4 linked regions of the Xenopus tropicalis genome follow. The protein of the gene in region 1 interacts with the protein of each later gene in a pairwise test. Links are inferred from orthologs where the notes say so. Each region holds a gene or a part of one and is shown in the gene's direction. Other genes may lie near its edges.

Evidence for each region.
Region 2: the proteins of ptpn11 (region 1) and tlk1 interact in binary tests that used the Homo sapiens proteins (3 or more experiments, as listed by UniProt). The link is inferred for Xenopus tropicalis from reciprocal best matches to the Homo sapiens genes PTPN11 and TLK1.
Region 3: the proteins of ptpn11 (region 1) and trim32 interact in binary tests that used the Homo sapiens proteins (3 or more experiments, as listed by UniProt). The link is inferred for Xenopus tropicalis from reciprocal best matches to the Homo sapiens genes PTPN11 and TRIM32.
Region 4: the proteins of ptpn11 (region 1) and gab2 interact in binary tests that used the Homo sapiens proteins (3 or more experiments, as listed by UniProt). The link is inferred for Xenopus tropicalis from reciprocal best matches to the Homo sapiens genes PTPN11 and GAB2.

What each region holds. Positions count from the first base shown.
Region 1 is NC_030677.2:163,813,136-163,818,655, forward strand, and holds part of ptpn11 (tyrosine-protein phosphatase non-receptor type 11), read left to right. Parts: intron 1-3,940; coding exon 3,941-4,063; intron 4,064-5,240; coding exon 5,241-5,435; intron 5,436-5,520. UniProt on the Homo sapiens protein: Acts downstream of various receptor and cytoplasmic protein tyrosine kinases to participate in the signal transduction from the cell surface to the nucleus. Positively regulates MAPK signal transduction pathway. Dephosphorylates GAB1, ARHGAP35 and EGFR.
Region 2 is NC_030685.2:67,884,613-67,890,918, forward strand, and holds the start of tlk1 (serine/threonine-protein kinase tousled-like 1), read left to right. Parts: upstream 1-2,445; 5' UTR 2,446-2,609; intron 2,610-6,306. UniProt on the Homo sapiens protein: Rapidly and transiently inhibited by phosphorylation following the generation of DNA double-stranded breaks during S-phase. This is cell cycle checkpoint and ATM-pathway dependent and appears to regulate processes involved in chromatin assembly.
Region 3 is NC_030684.2:34,069,620-34,075,761, reverse strand, and holds the start of trim32 (E3 ubiquitin-protein ligase TRIM32), read left to right. Parts: upstream 1-2,673; 5' UTR 2,674-2,692; intron 2,693-6,142. UniProt on the Homo sapiens protein: E3 ubiquitin ligase that plays a role in various biological processes including neural stem cell differentiation, innate immunity, inflammatory resonse and autophagy.
Region 4 is NC_030678.2:169,072,023-169,078,298, reverse strand, and holds the start of gab2 (GRB2-associated-binding protein 2), read left to right. Parts: upstream 1-2,305; 5' UTR 2,306-2,752; coding exon 2,753-2,824; intron 2,825-6,276. UniProt on the Homo sapiens protein: Adapter protein which acts downstream of several membrane receptors including cytokine, antigen, hormone, cell matrix and growth factor receptors to regulate multiple signaling pathways.

The sequences.
Region 1 (5,520 bases):
TTGATTACAGTTGCTTTCTATAATTTTCCTGTAAATCTCAGCTAGAGGGAGCTGCAGCATTATAATTTTCGCTGATCATCTATGTACACAACATACCTATGTCTGTATGTCCAACAAGCAAACAACATTTTTATAAATTTATTTTTTTGCCGGTTTCCAGATTTGGTTTTTGGCAAAAGTGCTATATATGAGAACATATACACATTTAATAGCATATTGTCTGTTTAAAAGAACAATACAGATTCTTGCCTTTTGTTTCAGAAATCTGTCTCGGATGTATAGTTACATGCACTCTTGGCTAAGTGCACAAAAATTAGGTTTTGTAGGCACTTTTGTAAAACTGTTTGTGTTAAAGGGACAGTAACACCAAAAAATGAAAGTGTATAAAAGTAATTACTTTATAATGTAATGCTGCCCTGTACTGGTACAACTGGTGTGTTTTCCTTAGAAAGACTACTATAGTTTATATAATAAAGCTTCTGTGTAGCCATGGGGGCAGCCATTTACAGGAGAAAAGGCACAGGTTACTTAGCAGATAACAGATAAAACCCCATTATATTCTACAAAGCTTATGTTATCTGATATGTGCCTGTGCCTTTTCTCCTTTTTCCCAGCTTCAATGGCTGCCCCCGTGTTGACATAGCAGCTCATTTATATAAACTATAGTAGCGTTTCTGTTGCAAACTTACCAGTTTTACCAGTGCAGGGCAACTGTACATTATATTTTAATTACTTTAAAACACTTTAATTTTTTGGTGTTACTGTTCCTTTAAGAAGTGGATGGGCCAGAATAAGTCCAAAATTATGTATTTGCACACAGAATACTTATTGTAGTTAAAATATATAACTTACTTTATGTTTTGTTACATTTCTGATATAATCATTTTGCGTTTAGTACAGGGATCACTTGATATTAGCATCATAGGATTAGCTGATATTAGCATTTTATTTGCAGTGGGAAGCTTTGCTAAAAGTACAGCTGTGCTGTAATAATGCTGCATATGCTGTAACAGTGGAAGTGTGAACACTATGCCTTCCTTTACAGGGCATGGTTAAGAAAGAGTCTGGCATGCTGTACAGCTGTTTAGTTCCTGATATGTGTGTGGGTTTTAGGTGGGTGTATGTGTGTATCATTTTGTGTAGAACTGTAGACATTTTTTTTAATCTTATGTTAAATATAATTTTGCCTATTTTAATGAATACATATGTATGTTTTTTGTTATTTCTTGCTTTGAACAGGGAAACATATGAAATTACAAGTCACATTCAGCTTCCTGGTGGCACAATCAAAATAAATCAGCAATCCACTGAGAAGCCCTTTGTATAGTCAGCTGCTCCTTATCTCACAGCCTATTAGGCTGCAGTTAGGCAAAGGTAGGGTTTTTTTTTCAGAGGGCTTCTCCGTGAAATACTGAGATCAATAAGTAAAAACTTTGTTCAGCACAAGCCTTATTCTCTGAACTAATGTTGAAAATGGGGGTATACTGCCCTTTTAGACATTGCGTATGTGACTTTTTGTGATGTCATAAATGCAGAATAAGAAGTGACTGGGGTTGTGAGGAGTCACTTAACGTTTAAGTTTTGCAGTGAAGAAAAAAAAAAAAGTAAAGACTTGGAGAAACTAAAGATTTATTTGCAATAAATCCTGAAAATGCCTGCAAATCCCTCTCTAGCTTATAATGAATGGTTACATATAGAATGGAACCATAGAATGGTTAAATTTTTGCTTTGATGAAGCCACCTGGCTGGACATCTTTAAAGACTCGGTAACATGCTCCATAAATGTACTGATACAAGAGACTTCTCAAAAGATCCTACATCAATGGTATCTGGTACCTACCAGAATATCTAATTGGTACCCATCCGCATCACCATTATGCTTCCGAGCATGCAACCAACAAGGCACCTTTATACATACTTGGTGGGATTGCCCAGTCGCAGTCCGCTATTGGATAAGAATGTACACTTTAATTACGGCTGTCACAGGCCTATCACTACGGAAGAACCCAGCAGAAGCTCTGTTGAACAAAAACATTTCTGGTGGCAATAAATACCTGAGGAAACTAACTACCCATATTTTTTCTCTGCAGCAAAACAAACAATAGCCAAAGCCTGGAAATCAACATTGGATATAAACTCCAGACTGGACAATCTGTTAATTATGGAAAGTCTTGCAAGCATTTCAACAGGATAGCAAAAAACCCACAATAAAATTTGGGCTCCCTGGATGACTTACCGGAATATTCCAATAAACCTATAGGGCTAACCACAACAGCCCCCAAGAATACCCTCCTCAAAATCTTCTACCTCTAATAGTAACCCGAACCTTAGGCCTGCAAAAATGATGACTGATAAAAGAACTATCCACAAGATTTTATCCCCAAGTTATACCCATGTTCCATTCCTACTTTTCTTTCCTCTCTCACCCCTCCCTCTTTACTCCCTTCCCCCCCTCTTTCTTTATTTTTAATTGTTTTTATATATGTGCCTGAATTATATTTCATACCAACCCTGCACCATGGGAAACCCCAAAAGGTACACCTTTGTACATTGTTATACTAAATGCAAAATAAAAAAAAAACATAGAATGGAGGGGATATAAAATTGAGGTTTGACTGAAGAATTGGTGTGGAAAAATGACAATGCTGATGTTTTAAGGGAAATGGGACAAAATCCAGGGAATGCAGCCATAGAAGTACATTAGAATTGGAGGGGACTGCAACGCTGTGCAAAATGCAGCAGCGTAGAAACTGTTTGACTGTATTATTTAAAATATGAAAATACTACAGAGCTGTAGCTTGTATCGAATGCCTTGTGAATGTAAGCCATTTATGAGCAAACATCAATTTACAGCAATATATTAGTTCTGTAGACTTTAATTTCCACTGAGATACATCTTTACACTACTTCTGTAAGCTTATGGCATTGCACATAGTAATGTTAGGCTTGTGTATGGCCGTTCACAGAAAAACTCAATGAATATTTTTGTCCTAACATTACTTCCAGAGACAGTCTGGAACTTAGCTGTCAATGTTAACCCTGAGATGTGCATTTTAAAGGAACAGTAACATCAAAAAATTAAAGTGTTTTAAAGTAATTAAAATATAATGTGCTGTTGCTCTGCAAAAAAAAAAACTGGTGTTTTTGCTACAGAAAAGCTACAATATAAATAAGCTGCTGTGAAGCCATGGGGGCAGCCATTCAAGCTGGAAAAAAGGAGAAAAGGCACAGATTACATAGCAGATAACTAGTAGATAAGCCCCATATAATGGGGGTTTATCTGTTATCTGTTAAGTAACCTGTGCCTTTTCTCCATTGAATGGCTGCCCCCATGGCTACACAGCAGCTAACTTATATAAACTATAGTAGTCTTTCTGAGGCAAACACACCAGTTGTAGCAATGCAGGGCAACAGTATATTATATTGTAATTACTTTTTTACACTTTCATTGTTTGGTGTTACTGTTCCTTTAAAATAACAGTTCAGTGTAAAATAGAACTGGGTAAATAGATAGGCTGTGCAAAATAAAAAATGTTTTCAATATACTAAGTTATATAGCACAGCCTATCTATTCACCTAGTTTAACTTTTACACTGAACTGTTTCCTTTAAGAGGGTTGGATGGATACTTTCAGCCATACAATATTTGCCAGTACATTAGGCCACATAGTATAAGTAGTTATTATAGTTAATCTAGCTTCACTGCCAACTTACTTTCTGGTTGCTGGCCATATTTGCCAAGTAGCAGTTTATAGTCTTCCCTACAAGTATGATTAAAGGTGATTTAATGGCCAGGCATGGTCCTTGCATATAAGGAAGAGAGGCTGTAATGTTGTCATTTTTTTAATGCAGGTCAAGCACAAATTACCCTAAAAAGTGAAGGAAAGATGCTAATTATTTCTTAGAAGCTGATTTTCCTCTTGCATATCTTTGTGGTCTAGGTGGTTTCACCCTAATATCACTGGTGTTGAAGCAGAAAATTTGCTACTTACCCGAGGAGTGGATGGAAGTTTCTTAGCTCGCCCCAGTAAGAGTAATCCAGGAGATTTCACATTGTCTGTGAGGTGCGTATGCAGTTAATTGAATCCATCTTCTTCTATAATACACCAATGTGCATTAGATCTAAATGTTATGGTTACAAGATCACTTCTAATAAGTGTATATTTCTGAGCTGCACTGATTATATTTAATTTGGAACTAATGCAGCCTTTCTATCTGGATTTTCTGGAAGTTTTCCCATCTGGCAACTTTACTATATGTGATCTTATAACTCACAATATTAGGTATAAATTGTTATTAATTATGTTCTCTCGCTCTGACGGCTGGACCAAATTTGTTTAAGTAGTCCTCAAATTTAATGCACATTACACACTAGTAGATATATTTCCAAACATATATTGCAGCACTGTAAAACCGCTTAATCCACTGGATTTTTTAAAAAGCAGTTAAGAAAGCTGTAATTGCTGTTTAGTTTTTCTCCATGTAATTGGTATATGTAACATCATACTAGTTGCACATCATCGTTTTTGCATGTAGAGTTGATATTTTACTCTGTGTAAAGTGAAAAGGGAAGAGCCATTATTTCACGTAAATATGCAGTCTAACTAATTTTACTATACAATAAATTACAATGCATGTTTTACATAATACTTCGCTGTTATTTCACCCATTGTCTGTTGCAAAATATCAGAGGACAGTAGAAAAGCTGCATGATTAGTATCTGACCTTACACATACATACTGGATTACACAGATTGAAAGAAAAACCATGCTAGTCTCTCACTCTGTTTATAATATAAAAGGGAAAATATTTTTTTGTTTCTGAACAAAAAACTAAATTTAAAAACTGCAAATAAAAAATTAAGACCAATTGCAAATTGTCTCAGAAAAACACTCTCTACATTAGGGATCCACAAGCTTTTTTTTACTTGTGAGCTACACTCAGGTGTAAAAAGTGTTGGTGAGCCAACACTTTGGGGATACCAAATGAGGAGCAGTAGGTCTCCTTGGTTTAAAATTGTGTTTCTGTGCTTCCACAACACGCCTCCAAGCCAGAAATTAAAAAACTGGCACCTACTTTGAGGCCACTGGGAGCAACATCAAAGGGGGTGGTGAGCAACCTGTTGCTCACAAGACACTGGTTGGAGAACTGCTCTATATCATACTAAAAGTAAATTTAAAGGCCACTCTTCATGTCTCTTCTGTCTGTCTCTACTTAAATTAACTGCATTTTGCATTTTAGGCGGAACGGAGCTGTGACACACATAAAAATACAGAATACTGGGGATTATTATGACTTGTATGGAGGGGAAAAGTTTGCAACATTGGCTGAACTTGTTCAGTATTATATGGAACACCATGGGCAACTGAAAGAAAAGAATGGTGATGTTATTGAACTGAAATATCCACTAAACTGTGCAGACCCAACATCTGAGAGGTGAGAGAGCTCTGTTTTTCACCTTGACACATGTTTTGACTTTTCTTTCATGTATTAACCTTCAAAGTCCTTCTCAAATTCTTTG
Region 2 (6,306 bases), on another chromosome or scaffold:
GGGACCCTGCGCACTTGGGAGTTTGTACCAGGAAGTGGTGTAACTAGAAGCTGCTAAGCCCCAGAGCAAATTCAATTTAGGGCTCCAAAATATTTGTAATTTGATGTATTCTACCATGATATAATATTAGTGATCATTAATCAGGGCTTCACTGGGCCCTCTACACTCCTGGGCCCCTTTGCAACTGCAGGACTGCTTCTACTGTATTTATGCCCCTGGTACCAAAATAAATGAAGAGTTAAAGATTACTTTTGCTCAAGTTCACCCTGTCCTCTTCTAAATGCCCTAGATCTTTTCCTAAATCTTGACACTGATGCTAATTTCAAAAAAAGAGACTAAAAACTCAAGATTTCCTTTGGTCAATTTCACACATTACTTTCTCCTAAAGTAGCCATTATTTATTGAGAAAAAGTTTACCCTTTTTGGTGCAAAAAACACCGGGACACTCAGATTGGTCAAAGTGGGAAAAAAGGCTCTGATTGTGGTAGGTAGGCAGCCCAGAGGTATCAACCCTGGCCAGGGGTCTGAAAAATGTTGTCATGGCAGAGGCTGCTGTCGGAAGAAGAAGGGTTTCCACCTTTTGAGTTGTAAAATACCAGGCGTGTAGTAATGTGTGAGTCAGAGAAAGCCCGCCCCCGACCCTAATCCACTAAACCTAACCGCCACTGACCGTAACCTGCAAAACGTTGCCATTGAAGGACCAGCACCCAACCCAAAACCCACATCTTCCCACTATGTAAAATACTTCTGTGCCCATCTTATGTTCCGAGAGAGAAAAGCATCACCTTCGTGAGCAGAGGAAGAACGTACTTCCCCAATCTGACCCACATCCAACCCAAACCCCCAATGGTTGCCCAAATTTCAACCATAACCCACCTGACCTAAGGGTAAAGCTGTGACTTTATGGCTGATGATGTCAGGGGGCGAATTGATAACATTTTTGGGTGGAGTAGCGGGCAGTCTGCAGTATGGCTGGGCGAAATACCGTTTAATATGGAATACCGGTGTTTTTTTTTAAACTATATTCATTTTTCAGATACCGCAATACCGGGGGTGTCAGGGTACTCACCCGTGCAGGCCGGTCTCGCGCGCCTCCTTGCGTGCGTGCGTCCCGTTGTCCGCGGGACATTGCGCACACGCGTGCGTCAAAGCGCACGTACATGTCAAAGCGTGCATGTCCGTGACGCGCTGACGGCGCTGGTTCTGCGCATGCGTGGGGGGTATTTAAAGCTATCAAACGCCTCCTCCTGTGCTATGTTGTCTGCGGCCTTGCCTGGGAAACTAAGCCTGCCTGATTTACCTTACGACTTTCTGTTGCCGATCCTTCGCTTGCCTGACTCTGATTTTCAATACTGCAGTAATTATTCCCTAATTTATTAGGAAATGGGGTTAACACCTACTCATGCATGGAAAAAAATACCGTCAAATACCGTGACACCGATATAATTTTGAAAAATACCGTGGTATAAATTTTTGGTCATACCGCCCAGCTCTAGTCTGCAGGAGAGATTTGTAAAAATTAGGACAGGAAAGGTAAGGCTGATGCCACACGCGGTGTAGGGCTGATTTTTTCGGCAAGCGGAAAAACGCTTGCCAAAAAATCAGCCCTACGCCTGCTACTTGTGCCTGCACCCGAATGAATGGGATACGCTCGGGTGCAGGCACATGTAGCCGATATACGCATGAAAACATGAGAGAATGCAAAGTCTCTTTTTTTTATGCGTATATCGGCTACATGTGCCTGCACCCGAGCATATCCCATTCATTCGGGTGCAGGCACAAGTAGCAGGCGTAGGGCTGAATTTTCAGCAAGCGTTTATCCGCTTGCCGAAAATTTCAGCCCTACGCCTCGTGTGGCATCAGCCTAAGATTTTAGCAGGCATTGGGGTCAATTAGTTGAGAAACAAGCGGACAAGACAAAGTTGCCAGCAAGACTAGGCCACTAAAATACTAGAAACCCTAGCTGGAAGTGACATCACCCATTGCTTTTGCAGCATGTATATTGAATTCAGTAGAGAAATTTGAAAACCCCAGGGAATTAGTGACAAGAGAGTGGAAGTCAACGTGTCAGGAAACCAGAAAAAAACTACAATATTTTCACTTTAGGAGCACAAACTCAGCAGCTGTTGGCGGCGCCCATCAGAAAAGAGGTGTTTTTATTTTTGCTCCCTGGCACAAGTATGACGTCGCATAAGCAAAGAAAATATTTATTAAGTTTTAATCAATGAGCAGGGAAAAACAAATCTTTTTCCCCATTATTTCTTGTTCTCTGACGAAAGCAGAAGCCATGAGGTGAAAGAAAAATGTGGAATCCGCACTGCACAAACACCGCGTGTTACTAGAAACTTAGACTTGAGTGACACAGACGCGCCCGTCACTGGCCGTCACTCCCCTAAGGCGGCTACGTGCCGCGTCACCGCGCTTATAGACTTCTGCCCGTGACGTCACAGTCTCGCGAGATGAGACTTGTGAGTCTGGATGTGCAGGTCGGCAGGAGCCGAGGAGCTGGACATTTAAATGGCGTTGCGGGACGTTTAAACAGCGATCCGGGACTGCGGGCTGTGTTGAGAAATTCGGGACTGTCCGGCAAACAGCGGGACTGCTGGGCGGTATGTGAGCCATTGTCAGTTCCTGCTCTGTATGCACTTCATTTAGCAGCAGCCGGATCTCCAGAGAGAGAGAGAGAGAGAGAGAGAGAGAGAAAAAAAAAAGGGGGGGGGGGGTGAGAAAAGAAGACGCTGGTCTCTTGTAATGTTTCAGATCTGCCCATTCCAACACTTGCAACATCCAGTTGTGTAGAGAGGTTGAAGTCCATTCTCCCCGAAGCTGCTGTTTCGTCTGTAGGAATGGTGGTGTGCCTTTCCACATCCTGCTATTCAGTTTGACAGCCAGACCCTGCTTTGGAGACCTTTGTCCTCCTATATGTCATTGATGTTCCCTGTCTAGCTCTCCTCTCACGCAACGGGTTAACTTTTTAGTTTACGTGGAATGTAAACCTCCCAAATACATTTTTTCCAAAGGGAAAAAAAAACTGCAGTTCTGAACAAGTTAGCAACATACATTCATGTCAAAATTTCAGTAACTTTCAAGCTTTGTAATTGGAATTAAAAACAGTATTTGCTTTGCACTTCTTTGCTTCTGACTCTTGATATAATGTAGCAGAATACAGATATGCCCCATGTCAAGCTTGGATTTGGGTGCTGGTATTTTAGGACCCCCCCCCCCCCCATACAATATCACTAAGTTTTTTTCCTGGGCTGTTGTTCCTTTTAGAAAAGGTTGCACCCCTTTTTAGTTTGACTTTTCTAATCAGCTATCTTTTGCTACATTGTTTCTGGAGTCAGAAAGTGCAGGCAATATAAACAGCCACTGCTTTCAGTTGCAACTTCATTACATAGAACTTTAAAACTACTGAGCTAAAGTTGTCTGGTATAACCCTTTCTTTCATTGTGCACCCCCTGTTGTTGTTACATCACTTATAACCAGTGCAGCCATGGTTGCAGCCATTTGCTCTAGCCTAAATGCCATCAGTCATATTCCATGATAAACATTGGGTAGGAACTGCTTGCTGTCACTCCCATCTAAAAACTTGAGCAAACTATGCAGTGCTGCACACTGGGATTACACACACAGTGACATGTGATATTCACAATGTTCATGTTGTTGCTGGGCTGCCAGTGGAATCCATGCTGGCATACCCTGCTGCTGTCTTCTGGAAGTTCTGTGTGTAAAGGAATGTTGACTTTCTATTTCTTGGGATGTTCTTTTTGGCATGTAAGCCAGTTCATCAGCACAAGTGTAGTTCTTAGATGGATCCCAGTGGCCTTTGAATCATATAAACTGATTTAAAGGGCAAGTTTTCATGGAGGTTTTCTAAAAATTCTAAGCCGGTTATCATTATTGGCTATTACCTGCCTGTGGCTGTTTTGCTAAATATTAGTGGTAATGCATGCATTGAATAACTTTAATATTTAGTTACATGTCTGGTGACTTTCCAGGAGCAGAGAGAGAAGTAGGCATGGTGCCCTGTGGCACATTGGAGTTGTTTGGCATAGACAATTGCTTTTTAATCACCCCTGCAGAATCTGCCCTCCTGTATGCAATCACGCGCACAGCTGCATCTTGCTGATCCTGCGCTGTAACTTTCAGCAGTCTTTTACTGTAGGGAGGTGCAGTTTAACATCTGTAGGAGAGCCACACTTTGAAGTTCTCTAGCAAGTTCTGAGAATCAATATGGCTCCTGTACGGATTATGTTTGTACTTGGCTAGTTCACATGGGGGTGCGACAAGGAAATAAGTGTCTTCTGTCTAAGTATTCTGCACATTGGTACAATAGTAATGGTGTATGCTACAACCTGAGTGGCTTGGTTTGTCAAACTGTGTAGAAAATATCTCCGCATACATGCTTAAGTGACAGTACAGGTAAGGAATCCCTTATCTGTAAACCTGTTATCCAGAAAGCTCCGATTTACAGGAAGACCGTTTCTCATAAACTTAATTTTAAGCAAATAATTCAGACTTTTATACACTTTTCTTTTTCGCTGTAATAATAAAACAGCGCCTTGAACTTAATGTTAGCTAAGCTGCATGAATCCTTACTGGTGCCAACATAGTCCTATTGGGCTTATTTCATGTTTAAATGATTTTTAGCAGACTTAAGGTATGGTGCTCCAAATTCTGGAAAGAACCCTTTTCTGTAAAACCCCGTGCCAGAGCATTTTGGATAACCGGTACCATACCTGTACAATGAAGTCTTTATTTTAAGCAAATAAATGCAATTTTTGGCACACAGTTTTGTTACAGTAGTTATTAAGTATATTGTTTATTCACTATAAGGAACCAGCCTATGGGGCTTTATTAAAATTCAAGATGGTGGTTTTTTTTCCCTGCAATACAAGTTTTCCACAGTGAAAAATTGGTAAATATTATTATTAAATTTGAGTTTTCTGATCTGAACGATTCAAGATCTATAAATTAGAAAATTTTCACATTTGGCACCTAAAACCTAGCAAGCTTCTTTAATGGGAAGGGTAGATCAGAACCCCACGTTTACGTACCCGGAATTTGCCATGTTTTGACACCGTCCCCTGGGAAACATAAAATCAGGGTTCTACTGTATTTTCAAAATTCAAGCTATTTTCAGATTTTAAAAAAGAGATTTGCAGACTTGGTTAAAAAGGAATAGTAGAGTGTGGTAGGTTTTTCTGCAATTAAACTTTTTTTTTATATCACATTTTTTTGTAAATATACTCATAATTAAGAAAAAAACTTTTGTATTAAAAAAAAAAAAATTAGTTGAACAAACATTTGAATTTTAGTAAATCTTACTTTGTTACTCAAGGTGATGACATATAGTAGCTAATAAATACAGCTATGGGACCTGTTATCTAGAATGCTTGGGAACTGGGATCTTTCCGTAATTTGGATCGCCATACCTTAAGTCTGCTAAAAATCATTTAAATATTGAATAAACCCAATAGGATTGTTTTCCATCCAATAAGGATTATTTATATCTTAGTTGAAATCAAGTACAAGGTACTGTTTTATTATTACAGAGAAAAAGGAAATCATTTTTAAAAATTAGAATTATTTGCTTATAATGGAGTCTATGGAAGATGGAGATGGCCTTTCTGTAATTCGGAACTTTCTGTATAAGGGGTTTCCAGATAAGGGATCCCCCATGCCTGTAGTAATTTCCGAAGGGCTGTTTAGTCCCAAGAAGTGTAAATATAAATCTGCTGTATGCACTTGGCCAGTGAAATGAAAGTTGGACTACAGTAGAACGCCTATTTTAAGTTTTTCAAGGAACTAGGAAAAAATGGCGTTAAATCCGTAAAAAATTAGACATCAGGGAAATTCTCTATGCATTATATCTTGGTGGGACCACAAATAAATTGTAGATGACAGAAAAACAAATTAGGGTCTGTAAAACTAATGTTTCACTGTATCAGGGGGGTGCTGGCAAATCTTTAAATGAAAAAAAGTAGGAAATGCTTAGCAACAGGTTTTATAAGAATAGTTATGGAGCGCAAAAGTCATTTGTTAATGCGCATTGGCTATTGCATGAGGAATTGGCAGGTCATGAAATTCCTTCCTGCTTTTCTGATCATCATTTATGCTGCCTACCCAAAGGAAGGAACAAGGGAATGTTGCTATGAATCTGTATAGCCTCTCATTGGGCATCAGGGCTCGAGGGCCTATAAGTTACTATAGAGTACTGGCCAAAGTATATTCACCTTTAGTTTGTAGAAGAGTATAGGGATGTTAGCAGCTGTGTGGCACTGCCATTTTTCAAAGTTGGTTTTT
Region 3 (6,142 bases), on another chromosome or scaffold:
AGTTATTATTATTATTTATAAAGTGCCACCACAATCCTAAGTGCTGTAACATCTAAAGCAACCAATAACCGATACTAGAAGTAAAGAGGGCCCTGCCCAAAAGAGCTTACAGTCTACAAGAAAGGGTTGAGACACAAGGGGGCAGATTTACCAAAACACAAATTCGAATCCCGAATGGGAAAAATTCGGATTGGAAACGGAAATATCGCGACTTTTTCGTCGCCGTCGCAACGTTTCATATTTTTCGCGACTTTTTTTGCGGGAAAACCCTTCCGACTTTGCATGATTTTGGAAGCCTCCCATAGGAATAAATGCCACTCTGCAGCTTCAACCCGGCCCAAGGAAAGTCTCCCATAGGGCTCAATGGCACTCTGCAGCTCCAACCCGGCCCAAGGAAAGTCTCCCATAGGGCTCAATGGCACTCTGCAGCTCCAACCCGGCCCAAGGAAAGTCTCCCATAGGACTCAATGGCACTCTGCAGCTCCAACCCGACCCAAGGAAAGTCTCCCATAGGGCTCAATGGCACTCTGCAGCTCCAACCCGGCCCAAGGAAAGTCTCCCATAGGACTCAATGGCACTCTGCAGCTCCAACCCGACCCAAGGAAAGTCTCCCATAGGGCTCAATGGCACTCTGCAGCTCCAACCTGGCCCAAGGAAAGTCTCCCATAGGGCTCAATGGCACTCTGCAGCTCCAACCCGGCCCAAGGAAAGTCTCCCATAGGGCTCAATGGCACTCTGCAGCTCCAACCCGGCCCAAGGAAAGTCTCCCATAGGGCTCAATGGCACTCTGCAGCTCCAACCTGGCCCAAGGAAAGTCTCCCATAGGGCTCAATGGCACTCTGCAACTCCAACCTGGCCCAAGGAAAGTCTCCCATAGGGCTCAATGGCACTCTGCAGCTCCAACCTGGCCCAAGGAAAGTCTCCCATAGGGCTCAATGGCACTCTGCAGCTCCAACCTGGCCCAAGGAAAGTCTCCCATAGGGCTCAATGGCACTCTGCAGCTCCAACCCGGCCCAAGGAAAGTCTCCCATAGGGCTCAATGGCACTCTGCAGCTCCAACCTGGCCCAAGGAAAGTCTCCCATAGGGCTCAATGGCACTCTGCAGCTCCAACCTGGCCCAAGGAAAGTCTCCCATAGGGCTCAATGGCACTCTGCAGCTCCAACCCGGCCCAAGGAAAGTCTCCCATAGGGCTCAATGGCACTCTGCAGCTCCAACCCGGCCCAAGGAAAGTCTCCCATAGGGCTCAATGGCACTCTGCAGCTCCAACCTGGCCCAAGGAAAGTCACAAAGCTTGAATGAATCCGAAACTTTCGTACTCGGCGCAACAATGCGATTTTTTCGCGACGGCGACGAAAAAGTTGTGAAAAATACATGCAAGATACGAAAAAGTCGCGACGGTGACAGCAAAGTTGCAAAAATACCGATCATTACGAAAAAAACACAGACGCATTTGGAGCGTTCGTGGATTAGTAAATGTGCCCCAAGGTGTGGGAATGGGCACACTGAGGTTATGTTAAACTAAATGAGGGTAAGCTTCTCTAAATAAATGTGTTTTTAGAGATCTTTGGAAGGCAGAGATATTAGGGATATATATATAAAGGTATTGGACCCCTTATCCGGAAACCCGTTATCCAGAAAGCTCCGAATTACGGAATGCCCGTCTCCCATAGACTCCATTTTAATCAAATAATTCAGAATTTTAAAACTGATTTCCTTTTTTTATGTAGAAATAAAACAGTACCTTGTAACTGATCCCAACTACGATATAACGAATCCTTATTGGATGCAAAACAATCCTATTGGGTTTAATTAATGTTTTATTGATTTTTTAGTAGACTTAAGGTATGGAGATCCAAATTATGGAAAGACCCCCTTATCCGGAATACCCTTGGTCCCAAGCATTCTGGATAATGGGTCCTATACCTGTATATATAAGGGATGCACTGAATCCAGGATTCGGTTTGGTATTCAGCCTTTTTCGCCAGGATTTCGGCCCAATCCATGTGCCCGGCTGAACTGAACCCGAATTCTTAAAATGTAACTTTTCCTCACATATAGTTGAAAAATTCTCAGCGTGCACAGTTTGTGGCTCTTGTTGACTATTCCTTAACTATTTCCGGATCCCCAATCTTATGTCATTTGGGGGCCTGGAATGGCATTTGCCACTTTTTCTGAAGAAAAATAAAGAACTTCAAAACCAATCCTGCAGTGGCTCTAGCCCCAGCCATTAGAAAGTTGCAATAAACTCCCTGAAAAATATATAAAAAAATTCAAGCTATTAGTTTCTACAAAAATCTTTTATTGAGTTCCAGCTAGACCGTGTTCATCGGCGTTTAGTGGAGTTTCCGGTTTCCCAAACTCCCTGCTGCTCAGCCAAAGTTGCTGTTTACCTCAGCTGAACAAATAAACATTTTTCTTTACATATTTTTTTTTATTCATATAGAATAAATTCTCAACATTCTGACTAACATGGATACACTCCAGCTTTGCTATTCATTCATATTGTTATGAAATTGCTTATTACTTTTCGTAACCTATGCACTGTCCGTATAGAGCGAGCAGATACACATTGCAGGGCGCATGTCATTTCTCTACCTCGAAAACACTACAACACCCAGCATGCAGTTTGGCTGAGCGGAAGTGGCGTCAGCGGGTGAACTTTGACCTGTGATATCGGATTGCCTGCCGCAGGTAAGAAGCGAACGTTGTGCCTTGCAAACGTAAAGTGCTGGGGAGGGGGGAAGTGCCCCCATACGGCTGTGTTGCTGGGAGGGCTGGGGCGCAGCATTGCCGTATTGGGACTCAATTGGAGTTTTACCCCCCGGGGTTTGGGAATGTGTCACGGGTTCCTGTTAAATCATATTCAAGTATAATGTATATTTTATATTAAGCTGTAAAGGAAAGATCTTTAATAAATTCTACATATTAATAAAAGCAATCAAATAATGTTTCCGCATTTGCTTTGGAATATAATGCATGTAGAGAACATTTGCAACTTTACTGCATTATTTTACCAGCTGTGATCATACACTGGCAGTTTATTATACTCAATGTATGGGCTGTGGGGTTTTCCAGATGAGGCTGCTAAAAACTATTTAAACATTAAATAAACCCAATTGTATTGATTTGCTACAAATATGGAATCATGCAGCGAATGCTCCCCCAGGTACAATGCATTGTTTTTACATTACAGAGAAAAAGGATTTACTTAAAAAAAAAAAAAAACAATTACAGGTATGGGACCCATTATCCAGAATGCTCGGCCACCTGGGTTTTTTCGGATAAGGGATATTTCCGTAATTCGGATCTACTGCCTAAAGTCTTCTAAAAAAAATCATTTAAACATTAAATAAACCCAATAGGGCTGTTCTGCCCCCAATAAGGGGTAATTATTTCTTAGTTGGGATCAAGTACAAGGTACTGTTTTATTATTACAGAGAAAAGGGAATCATTTAACCATTAAATAAACCCAATAGGACTGTTCTACCCCCAATAAGGGGTAATTATATCTTAGTTGGGATCAAGTACAAGGTACTGTTTTATTATTACAGAGAAAAGGGAATCATTTAAACATGAAATAAACCCAATAGGGCTGTTCTGCCCCCAATAAGGGGTAATTATATCTTAGTTGGGATCAAGTACAAGTACTGTTTTATTATTACAGAGAAAAGGGAATCATTTAACCATTAAATAAACCCAATAGGGCTGTTCTGCCCCCAATAAGGGGTAATTATATCTTAGTTAGGATCAAGTACAGATACTGTTTTATTATTACAGAGAAAAGGGAATCATTTAAACATTAAATAAACCCAATAGGGCTGTTCTGCCCCCAATAAGGGGTAATTATATCTTAGTTGGGATCAAGTACTGGTACTGTTTTATAATTACAGAGAAAAGGGAATCATTTAACCATTAAATAAACCCAATAGGACTGTTCTGCCCCAATAAGGGGTAATTATATCTTAGTTGGGATCAAGTACAGGTACTGTTTTATTATTACAGAGAAAAAGGAAATCATTTTTTAAATGTGACTTATTTGAAATGGAGTCTAAGGGAGACGGCCTTTCCGTAATTCAAAACTTTCTGGATAATGGGTTTCCGGATAAGTGGTCCGATACCTGTACAATTATTTGCTTAAAATTGACTCTGTTGGAGATGGGCTTCCCTTAATTTAGAGCTTACAGGATTCCGCATATGGTATCCCATACCTGGATCTTGTAACTGTATTGCATTACAACATAGCCGAAAGGAATTTGTTCTGATGTTACCATACTTTGGATTCTATGGATATTAAGCTAATGTCCAATGTCGCCCCCGATAGATCTCTGCAACCATGAGCAACTAATTGCTCTGAAATGCCTTCCCACTGTCAGCAATAGGAGTCGCTGGTGGAAAAACCTATGTATCGCTTTGACTTTCCAAAGACACTCAAAGTTGCCTGCAGGAGGAAACTTTGTGCGACTTCGGAAAGCTGAAGTGATGCGTAGGCCTTTCTACCAGTGACTCCTATTGTTGCCGGTGAAAAGGCATTTCGGAGTGGTTAGTCGCCTGCGGTAGCAGATATCTGTCTTGTGCGACTAGCTCGCTCCGTGGGACATCAGCCTTAAGCCGGCCATACACACACACACCGATAATTTTGTACAAAACCTAGTTTCGTACGATATTCGGTGCGCGTATAGTGGCTTGACGAGGCGACCGATATCGCAAAAGGCTGTGAATATCGGTTCAGGGCTGAATCGGCAGAAGGAGGTAGAATTTCTATTGTTTCTACCCCCATATCTGACGATTCAGCCCTGAACGTCAGTGGAGGGTGGGAACGATCGAAATTGTGTGTGGCCACTTTTAGAAATGTACAGATTTCAGATGCTACTTTGCTAAAAAAAATATCTAAACTCAGTACCACTGCAACATAAAAAGGAGCTGCTCAGCAGGTATCAATCTCTTATCTGGAAACCCAATATCCAGAAAGCTTCAAATTATGGGAAGGCCACTATACACAGATTCCACAAATTTTAAGCAAATTATTTATTTATTTATTTATTTATTCCTTTTCCTCAGTAACAATGAAACAGTACCTTGTACTTGATCCTCACTAAGTTACATAAATCCATTCTGGTGGCAAAAAATTCTGTTGGGTTTAATGTTTAAATAATTTTTAATTACTGAAAAAACTCTTATCCAGAAAACACCAGGTCGCAGGCATTCAGAATAGTAAGTCTCATATGTGTATTACTGTTCTTTAACCAGAGGCCACTCAGCTGAATAACTTAGTAATTATGCTACATAACCAGAGGCCACTACAGAATAACTAAACTCAGTACTACTGTTCCAGAATCAGAGGAACAGTAGGTAGTAGGTAACTAACACATTAAAGAAAGCCCTGCCCAAAACAGCTTGCAGTCTAAAAACAGGGCTTTTGCTATATTATAAAAGGCCACTCAGAAGAAAAAAAGACGTGGCAAAATAAGAATCTTTATGCGGCACTGCATGCAGGTCACTATGTAGCTCAGTAAATATACTGAGCTACACGAGAATAATAAATGTATATCTTACTGCATAGGTTTGCTATAAATAAGAAAACCAGATGTGTATCAAATGTCACTGTGATTGTAGAAATGAATGGCATATAATTATTATTAGTAGTAACACTCATAAGACAACAGCATATTTTTCAGACTCTTACATAGCAGACAGATAGCATAGTGTGTGATCAGTCAAACTAATGCTGGGCACAGTTCTGTGATATTGTTCGGATATGGGGCATTTAATGGTAAAGTGATGATATTTAATTAAGAATTTGATTTTCATTCAAATTCAACATCAGTAACACTATGGTTTTGTTAAAGACCAACCTCTGCATTATTATTCTATTCATTCACAACTTAGTTTGTTTTTTTTCACATCTATCCCACTAGGTTAAATGGTTCCCGACCCAACCCTAGTGTTCATAAGTTGTTTGAATATTATAAGGAACATAAATTGGAAGTTCCACTGGGGCAGAGGCCGATGTGAATCATACTCTCTGTAAAGCACTGCAATATGTTGGCAATAAAGAAAATAATATGTAAAAGACACTGTTTATGCTCCACTTGTAGCCAGAGAAACCAAAAATATTTATTTTTGTTTTATCAATATGTTTGA
Region 4 (6,276 bases), on another chromosome or scaffold:
AAAGCTAAATAGAATAGGCCATAATAAAGTGAACCACTCCTTGTGCAGGCTCCTAATATGTTCCTGGATCCTAGCTAATTTGTTAGGACCCAATATAGTATATTATAAGTACCAAGCTGGAATGAATCCAAGATCTTTCTCTGTTCCTAAGTAAAACAAACAAACATGGATCGGTCTGAAAACACAGCACTAGTATATAGGCGTGTATTCCGGGGGAATTCCCTACCAGTCATTTGAACTGAAGAAGCCACTCGGATGAGTGGGGAAACGTTTTCAAGAAAAAAACAGTTGTTTTAGACTTAATGCTACTAGATACTGTATATCATGACCTGGATGAATGAGAATCTTCATAGACACAGGCGTGTAATTCGTACACACGGCCACTAGATGGCGCAAACACTGAAAAACCTGAACTTCGTAACCTAGCGGAGAAATCGTGGGGCAGAAGCGCAGGTTAATGGATATGAATTGCGAATGAGGCCAATGTTTTTACATTTGAGGGCAGCACACAGAAGCTTTGAGTGAGACCTACAGAATTCTGTAAATATGTGGGTTTTCCTGCTGCACTGGACACAGTTATGAAAAATCCACTCAAAATTGCTGTCTTCCTAATCTGGAAGTGCAGGCTGCACTGATTTCTATGCAGCCATGCAGGGTGTATCTATAGGAATGGCTAAGCAGCATGGGGTGTTTATAAGCAAGTAAATGCTAGGGGTGAGGGCTCACCTTTATATATCACCTTTATATATATATATATATATATATATATATATTGCCCTCATTCGCCTTCCTATATTCTGAGTTATTTAGATGTGGCTAGTGAGACTATGCCCAGTTAGTCCCCCATAGCCCTCTAATGCAGATTTATTGTAGTCCAGTCTAATAGGAGTGTTACAATAAGTTGCATCCAATCCTCTAATCCTATCCAACCTGATCTGTTGGAACAAGAGTTGCATCCTCATTCACATCAGATCGGTTCTATGGGGCTTATTTGCACTTGTTTGCACTATTTGCTGGGATAGATATCCTTGGTATTTGCTATGGGGCATTCTTTGCTGCTGGGTAGTCGGAACCCACTGTGTGTATGTTTGCTGCTGGGTAGTCGGAACCCACTGTGTGTATGTGTTTGCTGCTGGGTAGTCGGAACCCACTGTGTGTATGTGTTTGCTGCTGGGTAGTCAGAACCCACTGTGTATGTTTTTGCTGCGGGATAGTCAGAACCCACTGTGCGTATGTGTTTGCTGCTGGATAGTCAGAACCCCCTGTGTATGTGTTTGCTGCTGGGTAGTCAGAACCCACTGTGTATGTTTTTGCTGCGGGATAGTCAGAACCCACTGTGCGTATGTGTTTGCTGCTGGATAGTCAGAACCCCCTGTATATGTGTTTGCTGCTGGGTAGTCGGAACCCACTGTGTATGTGTTTGCTGCTGGATAGTCAGAACCCACTGTGTGTATGTGTTTGCTGCTGGATAGTCAGAACCCACTGTGTATGTGTTTGCTGCTGGATAGTCAGAACCCACTGTGTGTATGTGTTTGCTGCTGGATAGTCAGAACCCACTGTGTATGTGTTTGCTGCTGGGTAGTCGGAACCCACTGTGTATGTGTTTGCTGCTGGATAGTCAGAACCCACTGTGCGTATGTGTTTGCTGCTGGATAGTCAGAACCCCCTGTGTATGTGTTTGCTGCTGGATAGTCAGAACCCACTGTGTGTATGTGTTTGCTGCTGGATAGTCAGAACCCACTGTGTATGTGTTTGCTGCTGGGTAGTCGGAACCCACTGTGTATGTGTTTGCTGCTGGATAGTCAGAACCCACTGTGTGTATGTGTTTGCTGCTGGATAGTCGGAACCCACTGTGTGTGTGTTTGCTGCTGGATAGTCAGAACCCACTGTGTGTATGTGTTTGCTGCTGGGTAGTCAGAACCCACTGTGTATGTGTTTGCTGCTGGATAGTCAGAACCCACTGTGTATGTGTTTGCTGCTGGGTAGTCAGAACCCACTGTGTATGTTTGCTCATTCACATCAGATCAGGTCGGTTCTATGGGGCCTATTTGCACCCCCAGTATAACAGGGGCTCTTGCTGGGATAGATTTCCTTGGTATTTGCGTCCCTGCTAACTGAATTGCAGTCATTGCATTGGGCTGTATATAAATCCATTTCTTTATTGGGCTTTAGGCAGGGGTGTGAGTTTAACCACTTGATTGCCTGAGTCACCCAAAGGCGTTGACAAACTCCCTGCCAGCTGAAGGGTTAAAAGCCCCAGCTGGTGACCACGCCCACTCCAGAAATATGGGTGTGGCTAGGCTGCACTGCTCTGGGAGACATACACACACACAGAGAGACAGTTTCCTGCTTCCCAAAGCGGCTGTGGCTGAGACAGGAGGGGACAGAGGGGACAGCAGGGACCGGGCAGCCCGGGATGAAGGCGCATCATTCAGCACAGTGAGGGCACTGTATGCTGGTACAGAGGGGGCACTGTACTGGCTGCCCCCCCCCTCACCCCCTGGGTGGCTCTGGGACACTGCAGGAGAGACCCCCCACCCATGGTACTGTGAGTGCCCCCCTGATGGTACTGATGGTGCTCTAACTGCTGGGAAAGTCTGACCCCCCCATGGAAAGTGAGTGACCCACCCCCGGTACCGAGACACCTTGGCTTGCGGTGCTGGTTCTGTTCCCAATGCTGCCGGGCTAACAGGGCAAGGAGGAGTCGTGCCCGGACCCCATAACCGCCTCCCGGTTATCCGACCCCCCCAGGATGAGCGGCGGAGAAGTGGTTTATTGCGGCTGGCTCAGAAAATCCCCCCCGGAGAAGAAGTTACGGAGATATGTAAGTACATGTGGCTGGGAGGAGTGGGGCAATTACATGGGGCAACTGGGCAGGGAAGCGGCTATGGGGCAATTACATGGGGCAGCTGGGCAGGGAAGCTGCTATGGGGCAATTACATGGGGCAACTGGGCAGGGAAGCGGCTATGGGGCAATTACATGGGGCAGCTGGGCAGGGAAGCTGCTATGGGGCAATTACATGGGGCAGCTGGGCAGGGAAGCTGCTGTGGGGCAATTACATGGGGCAACTGGGCAGGGAAGCGGCTATGGGGCAATTACATGGGGCAGCTGGGCAGGGAAGCTGCTGTGGGGCAATTACATGGGGCAGCTGGGCAGGGAAGCTGCTGTGGGGCAATTACATGGGGCAGCTGGGCAGGGAAGCTGCTGTGGGGCAATTACATGGGGCAGCTGGGCAGGGAAACTGCTGTGGGGCAATTACATGGGGCAGCTGGGCAGGGAAGCTGCTGTGGGGCAATTACATGGGGCAGCTGGGCAGGGAAGCTGCTGTGGGGCAATTACATGGGGCAGCTGGGCAGGGAAGCTGCTGTGGGGCAATTACATGGGGCAACTGGGCAGGGAAGCTGCTGTGGGGCAATTACATGGGGCAACTGGGCAGGGAAGCTGCTATGGGGCACTTGTATGGGGCAACTGGGCAGGGAAGCTGCTGTGGGGCAACTGGGCAGGGAAGCTGCTGTGGGGCAATTACATGGGGCAGTTGGGCAGGGAAGCTGCTATGGGGCAATTACATGGGGCAGCTGGGCAGGGAAGCTGCTGTGGGGCAATTACATGGGGCAGCTGGGCAGGGAAGCTGCTGTGGGGCAATTACATGGGGCAACTGGGCAGGGAAGCTGCTGTGGGGCAATTACATGGGGCAACTGGGCAGGGAAGCTGCTATGGGGCACTTGTATGGGGCAACTGGGCAGGGAAGCTGCTGTGGGGCAACTGGGCAGGGAAGCTGCTGTGGGGCAATTACATGGGGCAGCTGGGCAGGGAAGCTGCTGTGGGGCAATTACATGGGGCAACTGGGCAGGGAAGCTGCTGTGGGGCAATTACATGGGGCAACTGGGCAGGGAAGCTGCTATGGGGCACTTGTATGGGGCAACTGGGCAGGGAAGCTGCTGTGGGGCAACTGGGCAGGGAAGCTGCTGTGGGGCAATTACATGGGGCAGTTGGGCAGGGAAGCTGCTATGGGGCAATTACATGGGGCAGCTGGGCAGGGAAGCTGCTGTGGGGCAATTACATGGGGCAGCTGGGCAGGGAAGCTGCTGTGGGGCAATTACATGGGGCAGCTGGGCAGGGAAGCTGCTGTGGGGCAATTACATGGGGCAGCTGGGCAGGGAAGCTGCTGTGGGGCAATTACATGGGGCAGCTGGGCAGGGAAGCTGCTGTGGGGCACTTACATGGGGCAGTTGGACAGAGAAGCTGCTATTGGGCACTCACATGGGGCAGTTGGGCAGAGAAGCTGCTGTGGGGCACTGTGTTTGCTGCTGGGTAGTGAGAACCCACTGTGTATGTGTTTTGTGTTGGATAGTCGGAACCCACTGTGTATGTTTGGTGTTGGATAGTCGGAACCCACTGTGTATGTTTGGTGCTGGATAGTCGGAACCCACTGTGTATGTTTGGTGTTGGATAGTCGGAACCCACTGTGTGTATGTTTGGTGCTGGATAGTCGGAACCCACTGTGTATGTTTGGTGTTGGATAGTCGGAACCCACTGTGTATGTTTGGTGCTGGGTAGTCGGAACCCACTGTGTATGTTTATCGGGTGAGGGGGGGGAGTGTGCACCTGTCACAGGTGCGCGGAACTCAAACTGTAAACAAAGGCGGAGTGGGAGGAGCCTAATTAACCATTAACCCATTGAGTGCCGGGGGCGGTTAGAAGTTTGCCTCTGATGACACAGCAGCAGGTGTAACACTAAGCGGAGCAGAACGCTGCGGGGTTTGCGTTTCGCCGCTTGTTACATTGCGGCAGGTGTTTGGGCTGGTGACGTCACAGAGGAGGTTCCCGGGTGCGGGGCAAAGGGGGGGCAGCACCTGTCCGTATACTCGCAGTGTTCTTATATACCGTATATTGTTCTCTGCATAGGGGCGGGGCTTTATCCAACCCCCCCCCCCAACCCAACACACATGATTTCTGGGGGGGCTAGTAACAAATGCAGCTATTATGGCCCTAATTGGTTGGGGGCCACGCTTGGCAGTATGCGGGGAGAAAGTACGAGGTGCTTCTATGAACTGAATCTGAGTTAAATAGTGACCTGCAGGGGATGCTGGGAATTGTAGGTCAGCAATAGCCCCCCCCCATAAATAATGCAGCTAGCAGGACTGACAGCCATGAGTGTCACTGGGGCATGTGTGGAACATATGGGCCTCAGGGGAAATACATTTTAACCCCTTTTAGGTCTAGGAGAGGTTCTCTGTGATTTAGTGTTTAAATCTGCACTGTCGCCCATTCCCTGCCCTTAGGGAATATTGTCACAATCTGGAGTTTATTAAAGTTAGGGATATCCTACCAGCTAAATTGCCGAGAATCCTATATACTATACTATATATATATATATATATATATATATATATATATATATATATATATATATATATATATATATATACACACACACACACACACACACACACACACACACACAGTTATAAGCTATAACTACATTTAATATGAGTTAGTCCATACATTAACCCTTAATGTACCAACTATAGGAAACACAAAGGTGACTGTGACTGCTGTAGTTGGTCAGGTTGGAACAAGTACAGAGCACTCCACCTGGGAAAAGACCCTTTATTTGCTGGTACCATCTGACCCAAACTGCCTAGGGCCAATTGCACATTAAATATATAGCAATGAAACAGTTAAAATTCTTTATTGGCTCTTTACAGGCTCTGGAATCCAGATTACTACTGGTGCAGCAGGGTTAGGGTGCATGGGTGCTATAGTGTCAAGGTGCAGGCTTAGTTGCCCTTTTACTATGTAATTTAATCACTTTTATCACCGTTATTTGTAGCTGCAGCTGAATAGACTACAACTATATTGCACAGAATAGTAGTTACTACATGTAGTTGACTAGACTACTACACAGAGATTACTAGCACCTCCTAGCTGACAAGGCTACTAGAGGTTAGTAGCTTCCCCTAGTAGATGGCTACTAGCCTCAGTGGCCTAATAACGAGCCCCCAGATGGATGTGTGCTTGGCAGCTGGGATAAGAACTTGCCCCCCCCCCCCCCCCCCCAGTTATAGGGTCTCCTGTATGGTAGTTACGCCACTGACTAGCCTAGTACTACAGATCAGTAGCTCCTACTTGTAGCTTATTGGGCTACTACTATAGCTCCTAGAGATATAGTCGTTAAAGGGCAACTAATCTTTACTAGAGAATCATAAGACAATGCCACATATAGCGTTTTGTAGCCTGCTTGTAATCGCCTCACCCTTGGGCAATAGGGCACC